Linked DNA regions of Lonchura striata. The protein of the gene in region 1 binds, or shares a complex with, the protein of each later gene. Links are inferred from orthologs where the notes say so. Each region holds a gene or a part of one and is shown in the gene's direction. Other genes may lie near its edges. The genes, in order: TLR4 and LY96.

Region 1 (11,136 bases):
ACCCTTCCTGCCCACCTATTAGAGGGCAAACCCTAAAAGTGGGGCTGGTTTGCTTTGGATCAGGCTGTGTCTCTGACAGCAGCTTCATTTGAGGTGTGGAAACATCAGTCCGTGGGAGGGGAAACTTCTGCTTTTCCTCACATTTCCTTCCTCCCTCCCTCCCCTTCACTGTGGTCAGGCTGTCAGGGTATTTGCTGTGTCCTTTTGTCACTCCTTTTCCTGGTAACTTCCCCTCTGGTATCTCAGCCCTGCTTCCTGACAGCTTTCCATAGCACCCAGCCTTGTGATCTACAAAGGGTTAATGCTCTTCCTATGCTTTCCCTGCTTGTGGCTGCTGGGTTCCTCCTCTGTGGGAACAGAAGTGGTTTTGTCCTGGTTGGTGCAGGCAACTCAAGGACAAGGAAATGCTTAAAAAAATCCCCCCAAAATGTGCAAACTAAGCAGAACTGAGAGAAAAGGAGTGTTTGAATAAATTCACCATCAGGAACACTGCTTCAGGTTTTATACTCTGTGCACAAATAAGTCTTTGCTCTCCAAAAAGCACGGAATAACCACCCAGGTTTTGTAGATTCCAATATACAGCCCTCCAAGTGCAGGCAATCCTGCATCTGGATCTGTCTCGCCCACTCTTTTGGAATTTATTATTATAAATAAACAAATATTTATTTATTTATTGTGGCAGTAATGGAAGTGGGCTCTCAGCACTGCAGACAATTTACATTCTGTGTTCTTCTCCTGGCAAATGCCATAAAAGTGTTGAAGTGTGGGAGCTGATGTCTAAAGCTGAAGTAACCCCAGGGAATGTTTGCATTTTCTCTTCGGGTAATGTGTACACAAGAACTTTGCCACGGTTTACAGGAGCTGGGTCTGCACTTTCTTCTGCAGCCATTGCAACATTTTCCTGTCATCCAGTGTCAGGTCATGGCAGTGAAACCACAACCATGAGGCTCAGGAGTCTTGGCACGGTCAGTGCCCGTGGCAGTGCTCTCAGGATTGACAGAAAGCAGGGCTGCTACACAGCTTTTTGCTCTTATGGTATGGTTGTCCCTCAAAGCAGGGATCTGTAATCTCCCCAGATCATCATTAGAGCTGCCCCTTGTTTCAAGCTTTCCCAGAGTGTCACAGCAGTGCTGCAGGGGCTTGATATTTAATCATGCTTCAGTTGTGGCGCTGAGTCCCCAGATCAACCTTTCCTGTGTCCAGTTTAGAAAGTCTGAGCTCTGCAGTGCTCCGTGCCCTACACACCTTTCATGTTTGATAGTCTGAATAAACCCTTGCCCTACAGTAGACTCATTAAGAGAAGTGGGGGAGAGGAGGTAGAATAACCAGGACAAATCAAAGCCACAGAAATACAAAACATATGTATATCAGGCTATGAGACACCATAATAAAGTTGTAATGGAGGGGGAAAGAAAAATAAAATAAGTCCCATTGTTGATTTAGTAAAAAAGCCAGCACCAGTCTGAGGTGGCCAATCCACCTTTCTCAGGGCTGTGGGAGGAATTTCTACTCCCTCTAAGCACATTTCCATGCCAAGGCACTGTGCCCACCCTCACCTCCATGGTGCCAGTGAATCCCTGGCTCTGGCCAGCCCAGGGGGAACCGTGGTTCATCCCAGACAGAAGGACAAGGTGCTGCTGGGCTGTTTGGTGCCAGCCTGCCTCTCTCCAGGGGTCCAGGGGGCTCCACTGTCACTCACTGCCTGCCCATGAATGCTTGGCAGGCCAGGCTGGATGCCTCCACCATCTGTGTGAAATCCTTCCAGCCATTTAGATTAAACAGTGAAATGTAGGGCTCCTAATGACCTGACATAATCCATATGGAGTAGCTGCCACAGATAGTGACTATCTTGACACTGATTAATCACTTCTTCTAGTAGTGTATTTGTCCCTGGTTACTTGACACAGTTCTTCTCTAATAGCTTTGGAATAGTTCTGGGGTGTTCATATGATCTTGGCTTTGAGAATAGCCCACCTGATGGCACACATTGCCTACTCCAGTGCAGGCTTGGCTGATTTTCATCAAACCAACTTGGACTCTGGCTTTTGGGTTGTTTTTCTGCCCCTGTGTACACCAGTCTCAGTCCTTCTGTGTAATGGGGAACACCTCAGCCATGCTGAACTCTGCTAGGTGCCACCATGAAGAAACTGTGATGCCACCTCCATGCCCTTCCTGGACACTCAGAGGCACCACAAGCAACCTGCATGACAGATCTCCTTGCTCTGGAACTGCAGCTGGAGTCAATCAGGCAGAGAGAGAAGTGATGCTGGGTCTTCTTTGGGTCTGACACCCCAAATTTAATGTGCAGTTTCTCAGCCTGAGTGTTGCTCTTTTTTTCAAAGCTGGGAGATCCAGAAGTAGAGGCAGGAGCTCTTCCAGGCTGATCTTCCATCAAGTGTGAGTTGTGGTTCCCCCATCCCTGGAAGTGGCCAAGGCCAAGCTGGATGGAGCTTAGAGCTTGGAATGAGATGAACTTGAGGGCTCCATCCAATCTAAACCAGTCTGTGATTCCATTATTAGACCCACTTTGATGCTTCAAGTTTTAACTTTCATATTTTTTAGATTCTGCACTTGCCTTAGTGTGTGACTCAGAGCTTCATACAAAGTGTTAGCAAGTTCTCCTCACAGTTCAGTCAGACAGAACAATCCTTTTCCAGCCTGATCACCAAGGACACCTTTGCAGCTTTAGGCTCAAGGGGTACAACAACAGGGACTTGAGGAGATCAGACTGTGAGGATGGGACTGCATAACCTGGAGCTGGAACTGGACAATGAACCCCAATATGGAAATGGACCAAAACTTATAAAAGTGCGACAACTCATGACTGGTTTGCAATCTTGTGTCCATGGTGGGCAGAGCCACAGCCAGGCTCTTGCACTGCCCAAGGTGTATCCTATGAAGGCAGTTTAATAAATCCCTATTATTCCTTTAAGTCTGCCCAGTCTCTATTCCAGGTCAGCCTCTTTAGGCATCAGCTTCACATGGGAAGCATCACAAGTGAGAGTTACAGGCATGGCAGCTCTCTAGGACCTGTCCTGATGCAATCAGTGTCTCAGCTCCCTCCCAGCCTTGGTGCAGGCTCTGTGTGCACCAGCACTGCCTCTGTCCTGTGTCCTGTGCCTGCCAGGTCAGGCAGGGCTTACTGAGCAAGGCAGTGACTCTCCAGGTTCAGGAAGCAATGGAATGTTTGTGGAATGTGCAGCAAAAAGATCTTAAAGATGTTTTCAGACTATTCTTTCTGCCATTTTTCGTTGTAATTTATATAAACTGTTTTTCCCAGCAGAATGGCTGGGAAAATTCAACTTGCTGTTAAATTTGTGCCACGTTTCCTGTCCACTCTGACAACCTTTCAGACCTGGACAGGTGAGTGACTTGCTGAGAATAAGGACTGTCAGGTGAACCCCAAGGCCTGGTAGCTGCCTGCACCCCCTGAGCCTGGATCCGTCCTGCAGAGTGTCTGATTTCAGCCTCATTCACCACAGGTGACTGCAAGGCTGTCTCTGTGATAGTTAGGAAGGGACATGTGGCCAGCCCACCTGAGAGCAGTGCTGGCTCACCTGGTGCATCCTGAGCTTCTCAAGGACTTTTGGAGCCTCTCGTGGTGCTCCCCGAGCTCCACAAGTCGTGTGCTGTGAAAATGCCAGCACCTCAGGAATGCTCCCTCCTCTTTCATCCATCAATCTCTGCCCTCTGATGCACAGCTCATAATCAAATAATTGTTAGAGATGTTTTTTTCACGTAAAATAAGACCTGGTTTTGTTTAACCTTGAAATAGTTTCTGTCATGTTCCTCAGCCTCTGTTTGCAGACAGACTTGGGGAAGTGCTTGAGATGACTCCTGAAGCAAACAGAGCCGCTCTCCAGGGCAAGAGCTGCTCATCTGCACGTGGTACTGGGTTAACTGTGACCTTGAAATCACCCCAGGGACAGACAATCCTGTTTTTATGGCTCTCACCACTTGTCCAAGGGTTTCTGGCTAACTTTGTTTTTCAGCTGGAGTTCACAAATAATTTTCTTTTAAAATAAGTAAGTATAAGTTGTCTTGTCAGTCCAGCTACATTGTGTCTGTCTTATACTCTGTAATACCTTGCTTGAGATCACAGAGGCTGCATATGCACTGTCTGCATTGTGTTATTTATATTATAATAATGTTCAGGAGCACAGAGATGACTCAGGCACGTGTTTTTGGAAACACAGATTCTCTGCAACACCTCCTTGCTGAGAGCTCTTTAATGATCCCAGTAAATTGCCAGAGTAGTGAATCGTGTTTGTCTTTAGATGTTATTCATGTCACTTTAAGGGATTCCAAATCATTCTTTTGGTGTTTGTGAACAATCACTTAGACATTATGGCTTTATCCACGCTGCTGCGTGCCAGCTGAGAAACATGAACTTAACCAGCACTGACTTTCTAAACTGGTGGCTGGGTTTGGTCTGCTAACTTGCATGTTTTCTGCTAGTGCCCCGTCCCTTGCAGTGTCTGTAGGACTTATCCTTGAACAAATTACGATGTGTGCTGTGAAACTGTCCCTTGTGACAGCAGCAGTGCCTCCTTTGAATGCCCTTCAAGCTGCACTTCCCACTTGACCTGTGAGTGTGGCTGTGGGAGGGATTTTGTGATGCTCCCAAACTCTTCAGCATCTTCAGTAAGTCTCCATTGAAATGGTAATTTCTGGAGCATACTTCAGGCTCATCTCAGCTTTAGATAAAAATTAAATGTGGATTGCCTCATTCCACATATTGAATACTAAGGGATGCACTCATTTGTTCTCTCTGCAGACACACGATGCTCTGCCAATTTCCTTAATCCAGGCACAGAAGCAGTCAGCAATTGTTTCCATTCACTTTTGATTCCATCTATAAAAGGAAATACCTGCAATCACCAGAGGCTTTTCAGAGCAGGGATTTTGTAGAACTTGCCCAATTTCAACAAACTTTTTGTCTGCTGGCTTAATGGGCACTATCTGGCTGCACATCAGGGTGTCGGTTTTAGCTCCCATTGTGCTGCCATGTGTTTTTTTATTGCAGAGATCATCAGTTATTTTAGGATTCCCCATCTCTCCTAGGCTCTCTACTACCTGTCAAAAAAGTCTAACCCCCACTTCTGAAATATTTTTAAGTTTTCTTTATAAGTGGATCACTCACTGGGCTGATATCGCATCTTATATTTAATATCAATTTTCACAGACGTTCATGAGTCGTCACACTTTATTCCATCTTCCTCTAGACCAATATTCCACCCTTGTCTCATATTTTTGCCACTTCTGTCTATGTGGTGTTGATAATACCCAGCAACCCTATAGCTGGATCCCCTGTAACATTTCTTAGTTATCTCCACAAAGACAGGAGGAGATACATGAATGCACAACCATTTATCAGACTAAATGAAGGCAGAGAGCTTTATTAGAAGGCTCACAGCTGACTTAAATTAATATTGCCCACAGTGAGGTTTTACAAAGCTTTTTTTTTTCCCCTGAAACAATGGTCTGCATTGGGAATTCAGCATTGAGATGTTCTGTAGGCAGGCATCAAACAGAGATTCAGGCATGAGCAGGGCAGGGAGCAGCTCTAAGTCCAGCTCAGGTGTTTGTGCCTCTCCTTTTTGCTGCCCCAGCAACTTGGCAAGGGTGGGGAGGGGTAGAATTTCTGTGACCACACCTCTGATCCCTCTGTGAATCTCCTTGTGCCTGGCCATATTCCTGCAATAATTGCAATAAAGGCCCAACCAGGTTGGTAAAACCTGGATGTTTAACCACAAGAGCTTGGCCAGAGATAAACCTGTGTTTATCTGGCTTGAGAAAACCTCTGCCAAAGCTGAGCTCTTCTCCAGGGCTTGCAAGGCTGAAGCTGGGAGCATGGCAGGAGTGCAAAGGCAGAGTCACCCTCTCTAACCAGTGCATTTGAATTATGGGATGTGGAGCATGGAACTGGGCTCAGAATTGCACAAAATATTCTGTTGGTTTGTTTTTTTTTTTTTTTGCCAATTTGACCTGAGCTAATCAGAGGCAATCAAGTCAAGTGGCACTGATGAAACCCATATTCCTCTTCAATTTCTAGCCCAAACTATATCCATCATTACTTCTTTTTTCCTTCTTGGCTATTTTTTTTTAACAATTGCAAGAAGAGCAATTCACCCCGAGTGTGTGTAGAAACAAGTCACTGGCCAAGCTTCACTTCCTTCCTCGTTCTCTGCAGCTCTCAGAGATGTGCAGTGAGAAGCAGGAGTGATGAAACACAACTCCTGGCACTGCAGGAGCTTTCTGTCTCCAGGTTTCTCTCTCCATGCTCCTTTCTCCTGCACTCCTGGCCTCCTGAAGATGCCCAGGAGAGGAGCCCTTCCTGTGGGGACACTCCTGGTGCTGCTGCAGCTGGCATTTGTCCCATCCCCACTGGCAGGCTGCCTCCTGGATCCCTGTTTGGAGGTATGTGAGCTCTGAGTGAGCACAAAATCCTTCTGTCTCTCTGGTGCAACTTTTCTCTTTGCTTGGGAGATTTGTGCCTCAAGTCTCTTAGGAAAGCCCAGATTTTTTTTCCCCCCAAGGTTATTATCAAGGTGATTGAAGTAAATTCTAGTCTCGAAAACATCTGAGAACCAGAACCAGCAGCAAGAATTTTTTCTTCTCATTGGCTTTCTGAAACTCTGAGGGTGCTGTGTCAGAATCTGAGCTATTGATGATCCTGAGATTGTAGAAAGTCTCTGTCTGTCAGCCCCGCTGCCAAAGCAGAAGCCATAATTGGTCTGTGCTGGTTTCCAGGTTGTTTATTCTGTTTATCTCTCACATGTTCTGCTGCCCTGCCCAGCTCTGTCCTGCAGGGCAGCGTGTGGGGCTCTGCCCTCAGTGGGATGTTACAAACATTAAATACCAGAAACTCCCTGGGCTGCATTTACAAGAACGTGCCAATATCTGTCACCTACGTTGGACAGTGTGTCCCCAGCCTGAATGAACAAAAAAATGCCAACACCACAGTGAAACATGGAGGGCATGAAGAAGGAGAAGAAGGACAAGGCACACCCAATTTCCTCCATCTTGTCCCCTTTGGACCCCTCATCTAGAATCCTAAAATTTTACTTTTGCACCCATGCCACACTTAATTATTACTTACATCAAACACTCAGAGCTGGTAATTGATCCTGTAAGATTGAAAAGTCTTTTCCATGGCCAGAGATCACAGCCAGTGTCTCTGGGGGCTCTGTCCAGGGGGGTTCCTGACCCCTGCCAGGGTCCCAGACCTGCCAGGGCAGCCAGAGGGAAGCCCTGGATTCCGACAGTGCTGCAGTGCAGTTATTGTAATAGATTATATTTCCCTTGGAAGGGATCCAAACTTGTCTAATTTCTACAAAACACAGATTTTTGCCTGGTTTGTGCAGTAGAGTGATTTCACCAAGTACCTGACAAGGACCAACTGCCTTTTGCAAAGTTTTGCTGACAATTATTTGCTTGCAGAATAACTTTGGTTCAATCTGCCTGGTTATGTGCAGGGGAAGAGGGCTGAGAGCTGTTCCTGGACATGCAGTGCATCCATGAGTGTTTGTCCTGCTGGCTCTCTCAAAGGTTGCTGCTGGTTCATCTGTAACCTCAGGGAATGCTATTCTGTAGTTTTGTCCCAGCTTCAGTCAGCAAGAAATGCAGCTCTTCTTGGAGAATAGGACTGCTTCTATTAGGAATTAGAAAAATGTTTAGGGTGTGTAAGGTTATTTCCTAAAACTCAGGGGAGCTCCTTTAGAACTGCACTATAAAGGGGGTCATTCTGCTCCTGCTCTCCTGACAGTGACATTTTCTGGCATTCCATGAAGAGCAGATGTTGACCATGATGGGATCTGCCTCTTTTCAGATCACCCCTAACACAACTTTCAGATGCACTGGACTGAACATCTCTGGAGTTCCTGATGGAGTCCCAAACACCACCCAGAACCTGGACCTCAGTTTCAGCAATCTGAAATCACTGGGGTCAAATTATTTTGCATCAGTCCCTGAGCTGCAGATTCTGGATCTTTCAAGGTAGTGGGATCTATTACGTGGATACGTAATATAATACACGTAATATACGTGGTAAATTTTTCTTCACCAGCTGGGTTACAATGGTGGCTTATTTTGGGGTCTATTGGTCTTGGCTGTTTATGTTTTTTTCTTGTGACTTTGTCCCTGTGTCTGTCATTTTGCACATCCCCGTGGTGATGTGCAACTTTTAGTCCAGTCACTGAGTGCACACCCTCCTCTCAGAGCTGGGTCTGTCAGTCTGATCTTGTAGGTTGCAATGTGAGAAGGAGGAGGAAGATGTTTCACTTGTCTGTGAACAAGAAAAATGTCAGACTTTTCACTGTTACAAAAACTCTGAAGTGGAACATCTTGGGTGAGCTGTTTTTCTAATCACAGTTTAAAAAAAAAAACCATGAAGGTACATTCATTTTCTAAAAGGCTGTTTTAAAATATCAACATATTCTCTTTTGCCTTCTCCTCACATATCTGGGGGAGGAGATGGGGGAGGCCTATTAGCAAATTTGAATTGATGTATAATTTCCATTGACTTCAGACAACAGTTTCTCCAGGTAAATTGTTTCACTGAGAAATGTCACTCAGCCCCGTCACAGCTCTAGCTCCAAAGTGGCTGAGTGGCAGAGCACGTTTGCTGTGAGGCACTGCCTGGATTATTAAACTAATTCTGCTGGGACTCGCTGCAGAATGGATTTGGGTCTCAACTTCTGGATCTTCCCACATCAAACAAACCTTAGGGGGCCATGCTCATTTTCCCCTCTTCCTTTTCTCTTTCAGAGGCAGCACAGCCGGGCTCTGCTGCCTCTGAGCCATCAGCAGAGATCAGCTGCTGACAGAGCTGTGAGCTCTGGTGCCAGTGGGGCTGCCCAGGTGTGGCTGAGGTGGCAGTCAGAGGGCTGGGGGATGCCAGGGGTGAGGGAATGCTGGCTCTGGTTGGTTCTTCCATCAGTGATTTGTCCTGTCCCCGCTGTCAGGCTGCCTCCTCCATCCCTGTTTGGAGGTATGTGAGCTCCAAGTGAGCACACAGTCACATCATTGTCATCACAGTGTCACTTTGGCCTAAACTGATGGCTAGGATTCTTCTTTCCCGCTGGCTGCACAAATTTTTGATCTTCACCAGGTCTCCAGGTGTCTTGCTTTGAATTTAAGATTGGAGAGGAGAAGGTGAGAGGAGGTCTCCTGCTGGAGGAGCGCTCCCTTTGCATATCCAGGGGTGCTGGCTCTGCCCAGCACAGCAAAGCCAAACCAGCCCCAGTGTGAGGCTGAGCCTGAGGGTGTCACAGCAGCACTCAGTGAACAAGGAAGGGACAGTGTTTCATATATTTATATTTTCTTTTCATTCCCATCAGGTGCCACCTCCATACAATAGAAGATAACTCCTTTATGGACCTCCCTAGACTTTCCACCTTGGTTTTAACTGCCAATTCCTTCCAGCACCTGGGGAAAGCAGCTTTCTATGGCCTAACATCTCTGAAAAAATTGGTTCTGGTGGAAACCAACAGGACCTCTCTGTCTGAGCTGCCTATTGGCCACTTGCATACTCTGCAGGAGCTGAATTTAGGCCACAACAGCATTACTTCATTGAAGCTTCCCAAGTATTTCACCAACATGACCTCCCTCAGGCACCTGAGCTTCTCCTCTAACAAAATCACATCTATCTCCAGAGGAGACCTTGATGCCCTGAGGGGAGGGAACAGGCTCAACCTCACGCTGGTGCTTTCCTTGAACAATATCAAATCCATAGAGCCAGGGGCCTTTGCAGGGATTCACCTCGCCGAGCTGGCGTTCAGGTCTGCTTTTGAGAAATCCACGATGCAAACTGCTCTGCAAGGCCTGGCTGGTTTGCAGGTCAGCAGACTCATAGTTGGGGAGTTCAGGAATATTGAGAGACTGCAGGACTTTGAGGGGAGGCTCTTGGATGGACTGTGCCAGGTACAGATGGAAGAGTTTGTCTTAATCTGCCTCCGGGGGATTGAGGATGACACAGACACTCTCTTCAACTGCGTAGGCAACGTCTCCACTATTCGCCTGGTGGACCTCGGACTGGAGGAGATATCACAGGTTCCTCTGTGGTCTAAAGTGAGACAGCTGGAATGCAAGAAATGCGATTTTGAGGATATGCCTGCCCAGAAGCTGTCACTTTTCAAGGAGCTGAGAGTGCTTCGTATTACTGAGAACAAAAGTCTCAAAACCTTCGAGCAGAAATTTGTGGGTCTCAGTAACCTGGAGGTCATTGATTTGAGTGAGAACAGACTCACCTTCAGCAGCTGCTGTTCCCGTCAGTTCCAAAATTGTCCAAATTTGAAACACTTGAACTTAAGCTTCAATTCTAATATCAGATTGACTGGAGATTTCACTAATGTGAAGAATTTGTTATATTTGGACCTTCAGCACACAACCTTATTTGGTCCTGGCTCCTACCCTGTCTTTCTGTCCCTTCAGAGACTGATTTACCTGGATATTTCCTACACCAAAACCGAAGTGAAATCCCAGTGTACATTTTGTGGCTTGAACTCTTTGCAAGTGCTCAAGATGGCAGGAAACTCCTTTGCAGACAATAAGCTGGCAAACAACTTCAAAAACCTAAGTCACCTCCACACCTTGGATATTTCAAGCTGCAAATTAGAACATGTGGATCAAAGTACTTTTGATGCCCTGTCTGAGCTAAAAGAGCTAAACATCAGCAACAATAAGCTGCTGACTTTTGATCCTGTAGTCTACCAGCCACTGCAAGCCCTCAGAGTCCTGGATTTCAGCAGAAACCAGCTGACTGTTCTGCTGGACCCAGCCAGGGAAATCCTGCCTGATAGCCTGGTCCTGTTGGATATCTCTCAAAACCTCTTTGACTGTTCCTGTGTGTACCTGGACTTTCTGAAATGGGTCAAGGAGAAGCAGGAGCTGCTGCAGAACGAGGAGCTGATGCTGTGCCACACTCCCTCCTACGTGGCCAACGTGAGCCTGCCAAGCTTCGATCTGTCCTCCTGCCACATCAGTGCAGGCCAAGTTGCCTCCCCGGTGGTTGTGTTGCTCTGTGTAGTGGTGTTCCTCTTCCTGGTTTACAAGTACTACTTCCAGCTCTACTACTCCATGGTGCTGCTCAGCGGGTGCAAACACTATGCAGAAAGAGGTGACACCTACGACGCC
Region 2 (10,708 bases), on another chromosome or scaffold:
GTGTTTCTTCTTTGCTCTGAGTTCTGAGCAGTCTGTCTTTATTAAGATATTTTTTAGTGCGTTGTGTGCATTTCCAGGTGGGAAAGCTCTGAAATCCTTGGTGTCTTTCTACGGTAGAAAATGTGCGTATCAGAACAGGCCCTCTTGCTACTAACAAATCCTGCAAGAGAATCAACTGTGGTGTGAGTGTTTCAGTAAACAAATTACTACCAGGTAATTGCCAAAGTCTGTTAGCTCCATGTCTGTTTAACAACCTTATTAATTATGTGAATTACTATTTTTTTCTAGTGTATTTTTCTTAAGTTTCATACACTTGGTGAAAAACCAGTATTAAGTGCAGAAGTATTACTGCCTGCTAACATTTTCATCCCTGGAAGTTGGTGATATTTATTTGGGTGTAGGTAACTTGTATATGATATGGAAGAAACTATGTGATCTAGAGAATGTCCTTGTACATGTGGAGGTTCTGAAGGAAATACTGATGTAGGAGGCCAGTTTTCTGAAATAAGTGATTTAGAAAACTGTTTAATTGAAAGGTAATGCCTACAGTGAAGGCTGACAGCTCCAGCAGCCTTTTCAGGACCAACCAATCACTTGTCCATAGCATCGGGACACATCTTATCCTGGTCCCAGTTTCACTCAAACTGGTATGAAGAGCAGGAATGTATCAATGTGTATCACTAACAGTGTGGCCAGCAGGACCAGGGCAGTGATTGCCCCCACTTCACTCGGCACTGGTGAGGCCACCTCATGTACTGTGTTCAGTTTTGGGCCCCTTAATTCAGGGAGGGTGTTGAGGTGCTGGAGTGTGTCCACAGGAGAGCAATGAAGATGGTGAAGGCTCTAGAAGGTAAGTCCTGACAGGAGCAGCTGAAGGAGCTGGGATTGTTTAGGCTGGAGAAAAGGAGGCTTGAGAGGAGGCTGTAGGCAGATGGAGGATTGCTGATCTCCCAGGCAACCAGCAACAGGATGAGAAGAAATGTCCTCAAGCTATGCCAGGGGAGGTTCAGGTTGGACATCAGGTGGAATTTCTTCATAGAAGGGGTGATTAGAAATTGGAACAGGCTGCCCAGGGAAGTGGTGGAGTCACTGTCCCCGGCGGTGTTTAAGGAAAGGCTGGATATGGCACTCAATGCCCTGGTCTAGTTGCCACTGTGGTGTTTGGTCATAGGTTGGACTCGGTGATTTCAGAGGTCTTTTCCAACCTAGTTAATTCTGTTATTCTGTATGAAATTACTGAAGTTTCCTTCCTAGACACATTCTTTCTATGCCCTTCCAGCCTTAAAAGCTTCCACAAAAGGTCATGGATGACTGGCTTTTTTCTTTTTTCTTTTCCCTTTGAAGAACAGTTAGGATATATGCAAATTTTTCTTTTCAGTCTTTGACTATGTGTTATTTTCTTGCTAGTGACCCTCTCCGTTTCTCAAGTTTTTGGCTTTGTCCACATTATTTTTCATTAGTCCCTATCTGTTCTTAATTATAAAGTACAAAGCTCCTTGTCATACTTTAAAGTTATTTTTTAAATTAAAGTATCTCATAACCCTCATCCTTTTCTTGCAAATGTAAAATTTTTTATGAGAAAATGATCCCTTTTTGATACTTCAAAGAGAAATCTTTAAAGCTCTGAGGTACTTCACACTCTTAACCACACTCTGTAGAATTAAAAGGTAACTAATTTGAATGGAGCAAAGACATCACATTGGCAAAGATTAAGAAAATCTATAAATTTTTGCATGAAACCATGAGGGCTTAATTTAGGTGATGGAAAATTCATGGAAGTTTCTTTGTGCTGTAAAAATTAAGAGCAGACATGTGAATTACTACAACTGCTCAGTATAACTTAATAGGGTGGAAACTTGGTAAACTGCTGTAAGTTGGTTGCTCTGGAGTTCTGTGGCCATACCACAAATTTCTTCATCCCTCATACCATGGATTTCTTCATTCCCCCATGTACAGCATAGCCTGCTTCAGCCTGCATGAGAAACGGGACAAGTGTGCTTAGCTGTGAGTTGGATCCACTATAATAAGATTATCTCAGAGCTACACAGACCTCAGCAAGCAGCTATTTTAAGCAGGGAATAGCAGAGAACAAGAGCAAACAGCTGCAAAACATGTCCAGCTGTCTCCCTTTCTAGAATTCGGGATGGAAAGTGTTGCTGTGGTGTGCATACTGTGAGCCTCAGGTAGGACACCTCCCTTTCTTGTCCCTTCATCCTCTACTTTCTTTTCTTTTCAGCAATTTTAATAGTCTAATGAATACTTCAGAGTACAACTGTAAGATTTAGTCCTAAACTTGGCTTGCAGAGAATAAACCAAGGCTACTGGCAAGAGGCAGGGAGTAATTTCCAACATAATAGTTTGCACAGGAAAACCATACCACCTGGTATGTGTTTGCTACAATTTAATAGTCTCCAGTGGTTTAATGTGATATATTCAAATCAAACCACTAAGGCAAAGTTCATACAGCATTTAACAAAACGTATTCAGTGTAATGCACAGCACTTTTTCTATATTTCAAAAACTCTTTGGTTTCTTACTCAAATGCTACCAATGCACCACTGGATATGTGCCAGTGCCCTGCTCTTTGTTTTGACTCCCATGGTACCCTCGAGCAGTTCATCAGTTGCCTGCAGAGGAAATGAATCCTCTACCTCTTTATTGTATCCTTGGACATGACTTTCACTATAAACAGTGTCAAAAATAGAGTGAGGCAATTTGAGAGGAGTCTACAGTTTTCTATTCTCCATGCTGATAGTTGAGTGTATTTTTATTTTTTGAATGCAGTCTTATGCCTTATATACAGCCCCTTTATGTTATAGTGCCTACAGTATCAACCCTAAACCCAGAATCAGGAGGAATAAATGTCTGCTTCCAGTTGCAAAATTATCTACTTCAAAAATTCACAAATTGTCCTGCAAAGAAAATTATTATTGCCTCTTTCTCTATTTAACAAATGTGGTTAATGTCTTAAAAGAGTTTTCCATTAAAGTGAAATTTTGTTACATGCCAAAAGCTAGAATATAATTGTTAATTCTGTGTGACTAACACTTTGAAATGGAATACCTTCCCCTGTTATTCTGTTATTTATGTTTCTGTGATGAGATATGATGATCATGCATATTATAAATCTTTCCTGAGGAAGATTTTAATGACTTATAAGTGCTTATCTGGTCAGCGTACTCATCTGCAGCCAACAATCCAAATACAAAGTGATTATTTTGAAAGGAAATCAAAAGTAAGTTAAGCCCTTTTTGGATGCATTGAAAAAAAAGATAAAAATATCATGAATTATTTTAAGGATGTTAACTACAAATCAGTGAGGAAACTTGCAATAAGCTTCTATTATCAGCATCTCGATGCAACGAAATTAAAAGTCATAGGTATGAAGTTCTAAATTCCTTAGACTTGAATTTATGTACTGTTAATTGTATATGAGAGCTGGTTCCTACTGAATTTACTTGCAAAGGATTTTGAAATAAATGAAGTATTTCACTGACAAAACCTCAGTGAAGTAACCTTATTGTGTAGCTCTTTCTGCTTCTCCTTGCTTTTTGCCTTCCTTCTGGATTGGAATATATAAGAAAAAGAATATACTAAAGAAAAAGATTTTGTAAAAGTAAAGTGTGTATGACTTTGTAGTCTTCTGCAGTGATCCGCATACTGACTTGAAAGGAGCAGAACAGACTCTTCACACCACTAGTGCACTAGTTTGGGACTTCAGTGATCGTCACAAGACGTCACTTTTATGAATAGCATCGATGTTGGCATGGAACACCACAAGCATCTAAAACAGAGTTTGCTGGAAGTATTTAAAAATAATTTAGATTATTTAGATTTAATGACAGTTTGACCAAACACAGTGGTCAAGGTTGTGGGCTTTATAAATATGGCCATAAAGGATATTTTAGCTGTGATACCAATAGTGCTTATTGTTCCTGTTTTCCCACTTAGTCATCCAGATCCTTTTAAATTGAGCTTTCTTACACTGACTTTTTAAAGCATTGGAATAGCCTTGACTTGTGCAATAAAAGTGCAATAAGGAAGGAGCAGGAGGTTTCTGCATGTGTCTGTCTATCCAAGCCACCAGGGGGGACTCATTCCTCATCTATAACTTCTGCAGCAAGTATCTGGAAAAAAACACCCATTCTTGAACCAGGTCTAGAAAGTCAATTCAGCAGAGAGTTTCTCTTCTTTCATATTAAGAGAGCTTTATGTAAAATCTTTTCAAACTTCAGTGCTCTTTCCACTCTGCCCATGAGTGCATCAGCCACCCAACACATTGGTCAGCAAGGCCAGACCAAGTCTGGCCACAGAGGCACCCACGTTCAGCTGGGAAATCTTGTACATCAGTGGGGTACAGTCAGTGCCACCCCCTGCCCGCTTCAGACTGACCTTGGACTTGTGCTAAACCTGTTGGACTTATAGAAGACTCAGCAGAGAGCCTGGCTTGGCTTCTCACAGATTATCCTCCTTCACACCACTGGGCATGGCTTTGTGGTGGAAAGGAATATTTTTTTGGCTGTATGTGCAAAAGGCAGCTCTTCTTTTGTAGCTGCTTCATTGTCCCTTTGTGATTGTCTTACTGCTCCATTTCTTTTTTCCAACTATTACAGCCCTCCTGATTTATTTCGATTTCACTGCATGTCTTACTATTTTTAAGCAATATTTGTCCATCTTGAACCAGATCTGTGTTATTGCTATGATCACAAAGAGCTTATATGTTTTACAGCATTCTGTTAAACAACAGCAAACATCTGAGTGTGGTGTATGTACTCTGGGGATCTGTCAGGAATGTAATATCATTTTGAATTCCCACTTAAAAGCCAAATACTGAAAATTTCTTAACATTTTGATCTCTACCAGGCCAGTGGGACTCTTCTTGTGGTCTATAGAAGGATTTGGAAATACTTGAGCTAATAGCTTCAGTATTTCCAAATCAATAGCTTTAATAGCTGCATTAATTTTTCAAATTTTTATTTTATTTTGTGAATTATTACATGCTCATTAAATGGTGCTTTCAGGCACCTTTAATTCAATTTTCACCTTCCTTAATTAATCTAGGAACAATCCCTATCTCTGAGCACACTCAGTCATGGTTTTCATGTGCATCATTATTCCTAAATTTCTTTTGTGTTACATGTTCAGACTTCTGAAAAACAATTTCTTAATATTTTGCTACTTTACCTTTATAATATGTAAATTATTACCCTGGCATGCACATAATTTGTGAGAATAAAAACTTTTAGGTGTTGTGATGGGGAATGGAAAGAGTCAGAACAACTGATTGTAATATTTATTGGAATTTTTATTGAGTTTCCTGCTTAGCATGAATCAAACTCAAATACCTCTCTATTTTATGTATTGCTTCTTTTTCTTAAAAAATAAATAGTTTCTAATCTAAGAGAAGTCAGCAGACATATACACAAACCAAGAAGGTAACTTGTGAGAACATTATTTGCTTAATTTCTGTAAGTCATTCTTCCATTGAATTCAGTAAACTTCCATATTTCATTATACTGAGAAAAAATATTTAGTTCTGTTTCCCGTCAGGTAGAGGGGGTTCTGCTCTCTTGAATGAGCTATTAGGCTTAATTTGATCTGTTCCTGTAGTTGGGATTAGCTGAGACTAGCTGCTTACTACTGCTGATGAGTCAACTAAACTTGCTCATTATGTACTTCTGGTAGTCATAATGTCGTTTCACTTCCCCATTTCACACAGTTTTCTCTTTAATTTTTTCACTCTGGGTTTGAACTGCATTGTCTGGGGAAAATGTAACAGCAAAATCAGGAATTCTTTTTCTTAACAAAATTTAGTGTAATGATAACTGACAGTGCTGCAGCAGGATTAACAAAAATTGCAGAAAATTTGATAAATAACAGAACTTTCCCCGAAGACATGTGACTGACGATGACTGTGCTGAATTTTCTTCCTCTTTCTCCCAAATGAAGTTTTATACCATCGAATACTGAGCAAAAAAAGTAAAACTATGTTTGGACTCATTTTGTTCATTTTATTCACCCCCGGAGTCAGTGAATTAATTTGTACATCATCTGATCTTGAAATGTCATATACTTTTTGTGGTAAGTAAAAAAATAGATAATCCTTTTGTTAAATTTGCGGGATAATTACTGTAGTCTGAGGGATTGTAAATTTTCTTTCAAATTTGTTTCCTTGAAGAATACAGAAAAATAAAGAATAAGTATATTTCTGTTATTAATCACCCTGCTAAAGAATTTTACTTCATAGGCATAAATCTTACCACAATGCTGGTTTCAGCAGCTAGGAGAGAGAGAATTTTATTCTCACATGATGTTTTTGTTCAGGAAATATTAGAAAATAATGGATTTAAATTTGTTTCATAAGAACTCTGTTGTATGAATTGTAACTATGGAGTTAACCAGTATGTTACAATTGAAAGCTTGAAGTATGTGGGAGAAAAAGAGAGAATGTCATATTCTGTCAGGCTGTGGTACCAATCAGGTTCTGAGACAGCATGGTGTATTCCTTCTTGCCCTGTCTGTGTCATGGGCTGATATTTTTTGTATTTTAAAAATACAAGGTGGGTCAGTCACAGAGTAAATCTACTCAAAGGTTCATTTACATTACTTGGAAAATATGCTAGTGCATTAAAAATATTTTTTAGCTCTTGTCAGCATGATTAGCATAAGTAGGGATATTTTCAGTAGAAGACCATGCTGGTTTAGTGCTAAAAAAGAGTTTGTATATCTTCAAAAGAGAAATAAAGGCACTTTTGTTTCTGTTTTTGTGTGCAAATTATCATCAGCCAAAAATTGACTTCTCTTTACTTAAAGAAATATGATAAAGGTTTTGCTGTCTGAATATAAAAATAATTAATAATATAATTAAAAAACATATTTAATAATTACCACATATATTGAATAGTTTTATAGCATGTAACTTAAATACATTTTAAAATATGTATATGGTTTTTGTGTGTATAACTGTATATTGGTATTATTTTATGGAGAAGCCTATTCAAACTATCAATGTGAAATGTTTTTTTTCTGTAGATTCTATGGCTCAGGCTTTCATGTTTAATCTGACACCTTGCAGCGTGACCAACGAACATGTCTGGAAGGCTGCTCTTACCTGGATTCCAAGTGAGTCTCTCTTAACTAGACAATTATATTCTGGAAATGCTGAAAATGAAATACAACTGAAAAACTGACACTTCATCTTAAATGCCAAGTGATTTAGGAAATTGGTTTCTGGGGTTAAAAATGGAGTGGCTAAACTATAGTCATGGGCAGAAATGATGATTTGAGAAAATGTGTTTGAGTTTTACTTGGACGCAGACTGTCACTATACATTCAAATCTGTGACAGTTTAGGTGTATGAGCATTTTGGTCTTCTGGCCTGGAGAAGATCCGAATCTTTTAAAGGAGAGAGAGTATTATAAGGCCGTTGAACTATGGCAGGACTTCTGCAGAGAATATGTATGTTCCAGAAGCTGGAAATGGTACTGGATTTTGTGTGCAAACCTAACTGTGATCTTTAAACCTAGCTTTAAGCCAGCAAGCTCAGCTCATGAAATGTTTAGGATCTGGCTGTATCATAAATTTCCCTTTCTGCACTAGGTTTGCTTCCCTAGAAAGATATCTTTGTGATGCATTCATGATAGTTTGTTTGCAACACCTGCTTAAAACTAAGGTCTTCATTTGAGTGTGTGTTTAGATTAGCTGTGGAGGTGAATGAACTCTGGTTTTTTTACTGAAGAAATTAAAACTAACTTTGAAATTTTTCTCTCAAATATTTTTGAAGACTAATTTTTTGTTGTTGTTAAAAACAACAATATCTTTTTTCTTTTTCTCTGGAAGTTGCAGTTTTCAAAATATATGCCTTTTTAGTTTTGGGGTAGTCTTACAAATACACAAGTATTTGTATTTTGCCAAGTATTTTGGCAAAATCTAGGTTTTTTCTAAACAGCATGTCTCCATATATGCTTTTCTCCCCCACCAGTTACCATTTTCTTGCTTGCAATTTTTGAATTAGGAAGTGACATCCACTTTTTGAAGATTGTCTTCAATGTCTGGTACGATGGTGCCAAAGCGCTCTTCTGGAAAGAACTCCTCTGCAGCGGAGCTGACGATGAATACTCAGTGTGTGGAACACTGAAAGGAGGTTGGTGTGAAAATACATGGTGCAATCAACCCATGCAAACAGGTTTTTATCTCTACAATCTACACCTTGCTTGGCAGACCTCAGAGCAGGCAATTCTCCCATTGCAGAATGCCATTGAAGTAAAAAATATCCAAATTCTTTATTTTAACATCCTTGTACTGCGGTTTCCATCTCCATAAATGAGGACTAAAGGCCTGTAAGGAGGTCAAAATACAGTCTGTTTTCCATTCTTTAAAAATCAGTATCAGCTCTCTTCAGTTACCATTCAAGTGAACTACTATTACAAGTTAAATTACTGGAGTTATCACAGTAGGATTTGTCTGGAGGAGATGTTGCAGGAGCACTGTGGTTAATGTCTATTTTCTAATGTGGTTTCAATAAAAAGTCAGAGCTCTGAGAGAAGAACCAGACGGGGGCTTTATCAGTGAAAGAGTAAATGACATTGGCAACTGCTGCTGAGAGATATGCCATATTGCTTTGAAGTGATTTAGGCAGTCTGATTAATGGCTTTATGGTTAAGTAACTCTTTGTATTATAATTATCTCTGTTTTTCAGAAACACTTGCATCAGCATTTGACATTAAAGGCTCAAGAATAGCATTTCCAAAGGTACTTTTCAATGTTTTGTGTAATAGTAAAATCACATACTTACAGGTATATTTTTTCTGAAGAGAGATGTTCACCAAAACTGTAGAAAACAGAAGAGGAAATGTCAGAAAACTTTCATATAATAGAAGTGATGACACTAAAATGGTAGCATCTCTGAAATGCTAAGATGTTCTAAGGTTATTATTCCTCTATCATTCCTCCTTTATTTTATGAAGGAAAAGACCAAAGTAATCAGTTAACATCACCTTAATTATTCCATTTTGTTTAGTAAATTATTCTCTTTCTTTTTACCTGTTTGAGTAAATCCATTCATATTCCTTCTGCCCTTTTCATTCTTTATTTTACATTTTTTTCACATGCTGCTCTCTTACTCCCTGAAACCATTTCAAAGGTTTGAAGAGAGATAACAATATCCAAAAAGTAAAAGTAGTGCTCTACTGTTAAAACAGGGGCAGCACCAGTCCTCAGGTTAAGCCATTCTGTCTAACAACTGCCTCATCAGTTGTCTGAGCTTTTCCAAGACCCTTATCAACCCTATTAATCCCTAAAAAAAGCACTAAGGAGCTTCTACTGGTCCAAAATCTCCACCATCCCCCTTAGCTCATGGACTTCCAACAGTCCAACACCTCTTGTAGCCCCAGAGCTAGTAATGGACAGGAACATCCTCTGCCATGAGCTGTCCTCATATCGATGAAGAGCTCATGGTAGACTTGACATTTCCTGATAGGACTCTGCTAGACCAGGAAATGTCATTCCTCAGTAGTCCAGCCATGAGAAGAAAGCTGAATACAGTTTTATTTGAATGCACTCATATACCTGACTATACCCAAGAAAGCAGTTTTGATGGGAATCTATTTTTTTCAGTTCTAACATACATCACCAGAACCATTCCAAGAGACACTTAGACAAGAGCAGGCAGTATTGTGGACTAATTGTATTTTTTTTTTTCTTGTGTGTTTTAGGGCAATTATAGTATTGTTGTGCAAGGATTCTCTGATGATTCTGAGAATAATATGGTCATATGCTTGAATTTCACCATGATAGTAAAACAAGATCTTTTCTGAGTGCAACAAACTTCTCAAATAATTCCAGAACATGGAGATCACTTCTGTAAGCAACTAGAATCCAAGCTCTGAAATAATATGCAGTCTGAATTTCCTGAAGCAGAATATATCATGTGCTATCTGGGAAGCTTTATAGTCTTACTCATTTGTAGCACAGCCATAATCAGTTGCTCGGCCAACGTGCACCAAATCTCTGGGAATCAGCTATCCTGGTTAAGCCACAGAACTACCCTGACTTGATGTCAGTCTGGACTTGCATTTTAGTGCTGTGCCTTGAGTTACAAAAAAGTTGATCCTTCAGGCTGACATAAAGTAATCAAGAATTTTGAAGTGCAAGAATCAGAAGTTCATCAGTATTCAATTTAAAATAACACAGCAATTGAATTTGGGAATCCTGCTGTGAGGTGGTAAGGGTGTTTTTTGGGTTTGTTTGGGTTATTTTCTTTTCTTGTAACAATAAAACTTGTACAATCAATCAGTTTAAGAGATGGTTTTTATTCTCCTGTTATTTGCTAATGTTTCTTCAGATGTTTCATATTGTTCTGCTCTGTTTACACCAAACTGAAACAGAGGAGTAATTTGTTATGTGGTAGTAGCTGATGTGGATGAAATCCAAAGTGGAACACGTTCCCAGTTACACTAATACAGTACAGCTGAATTTAGCCAGCCAGAGCTGCAACTATAATCCCTTAGAATGTTTTTAGCTCTTGCTCAGAGTCCGAGGAGCAGAGGTTACACAAGCTGTGTCCTTCAGAAGCAGGAGGTTGGTGTCACACAACAGGTTGATCAATTCCTCAGTTATTCCTCAAAGGCATTTCTAAAGTTTTCCTGTAGCTTTTGCCCCTTGGGCAGACAATACTGAGTACCCATCTGCCCCCTCTGTTGCTCCTCTG

The links.
Region 2: the proteins of TLR4 (region 1) and LY96 are in contact, whole or in part, in a crystal structure (PDB 4G8A), measured with the Homo sapiens proteins. The link is inferred for Lonchura striata from reciprocal best matches to the Homo sapiens genes TLR4 and LY96. Residues at the interface, in NP_612564.1 of Homo sapiens: Gln39, Met41, Glu42, Asp60, Ser62, Phe63, Asp84, Ser86, Arg87, Thr110, Gly111, Val132, Val134, Glu135, Asn156, His159, Ser183, Ser184, Asp209, Leu212, Arg234, Val259, Glu262, Phe263, Arg264, Asn265, Glu266, Arg289, Ala291, Tyr292; in NP_056179.4 of Homo sapiens: Met40, Tyr42, Ile66, Pro67, Arg68, Arg96, Ser98, Asp99, Asp100, Asp101, Tyr102, Ser103, Phe104, Arg106, Leu108, Lys109, Gly110, Glu111, Thr112, Thr115, Thr116, Ile117.

What each region holds. Positions count from the first base shown.
Region 1 is NC_134624.1:2,202,577-2,213,712, reverse strand, and holds the start of TLR4 (toll-like receptor 4), read left to right. Parts: upstream 1-6,294; 5' UTR 6,295-6,315; coding exon 6,316-6,420; intron 6,421-7,831; coding exon 7,832-7,998; intron 7,999-9,341; coding exon 9,342-11,136.
Region 2 is NC_134603.1:32,169,692-32,180,399, reverse strand, and holds LY96 (lymphocyte antigen 96), read left to right. Parts: upstream 1-5,968; 5' UTR 5,969-5,987; coding exon 5,988-6,081; intron 6,082-7,032; coding exon 7,033-7,122; intron 7,123-8,014; coding exon 8,015-8,143; intron 8,144-8,698; coding exon 8,699-8,751; intron 8,752-9,713; coding exon 9,714-9,815; 3' UTR 9,816-10,293; downstream 10,294-10,708. UniProt on the Homo sapiens protein: Binds bacterial lipopolysaccharide (LPS). Cooperates with TLR4 in the innate immune response to bacterial lipopolysaccharide (LPS), and with TLR2 in the response to cell wall components from Gram-positive and Gram-negative bacteria.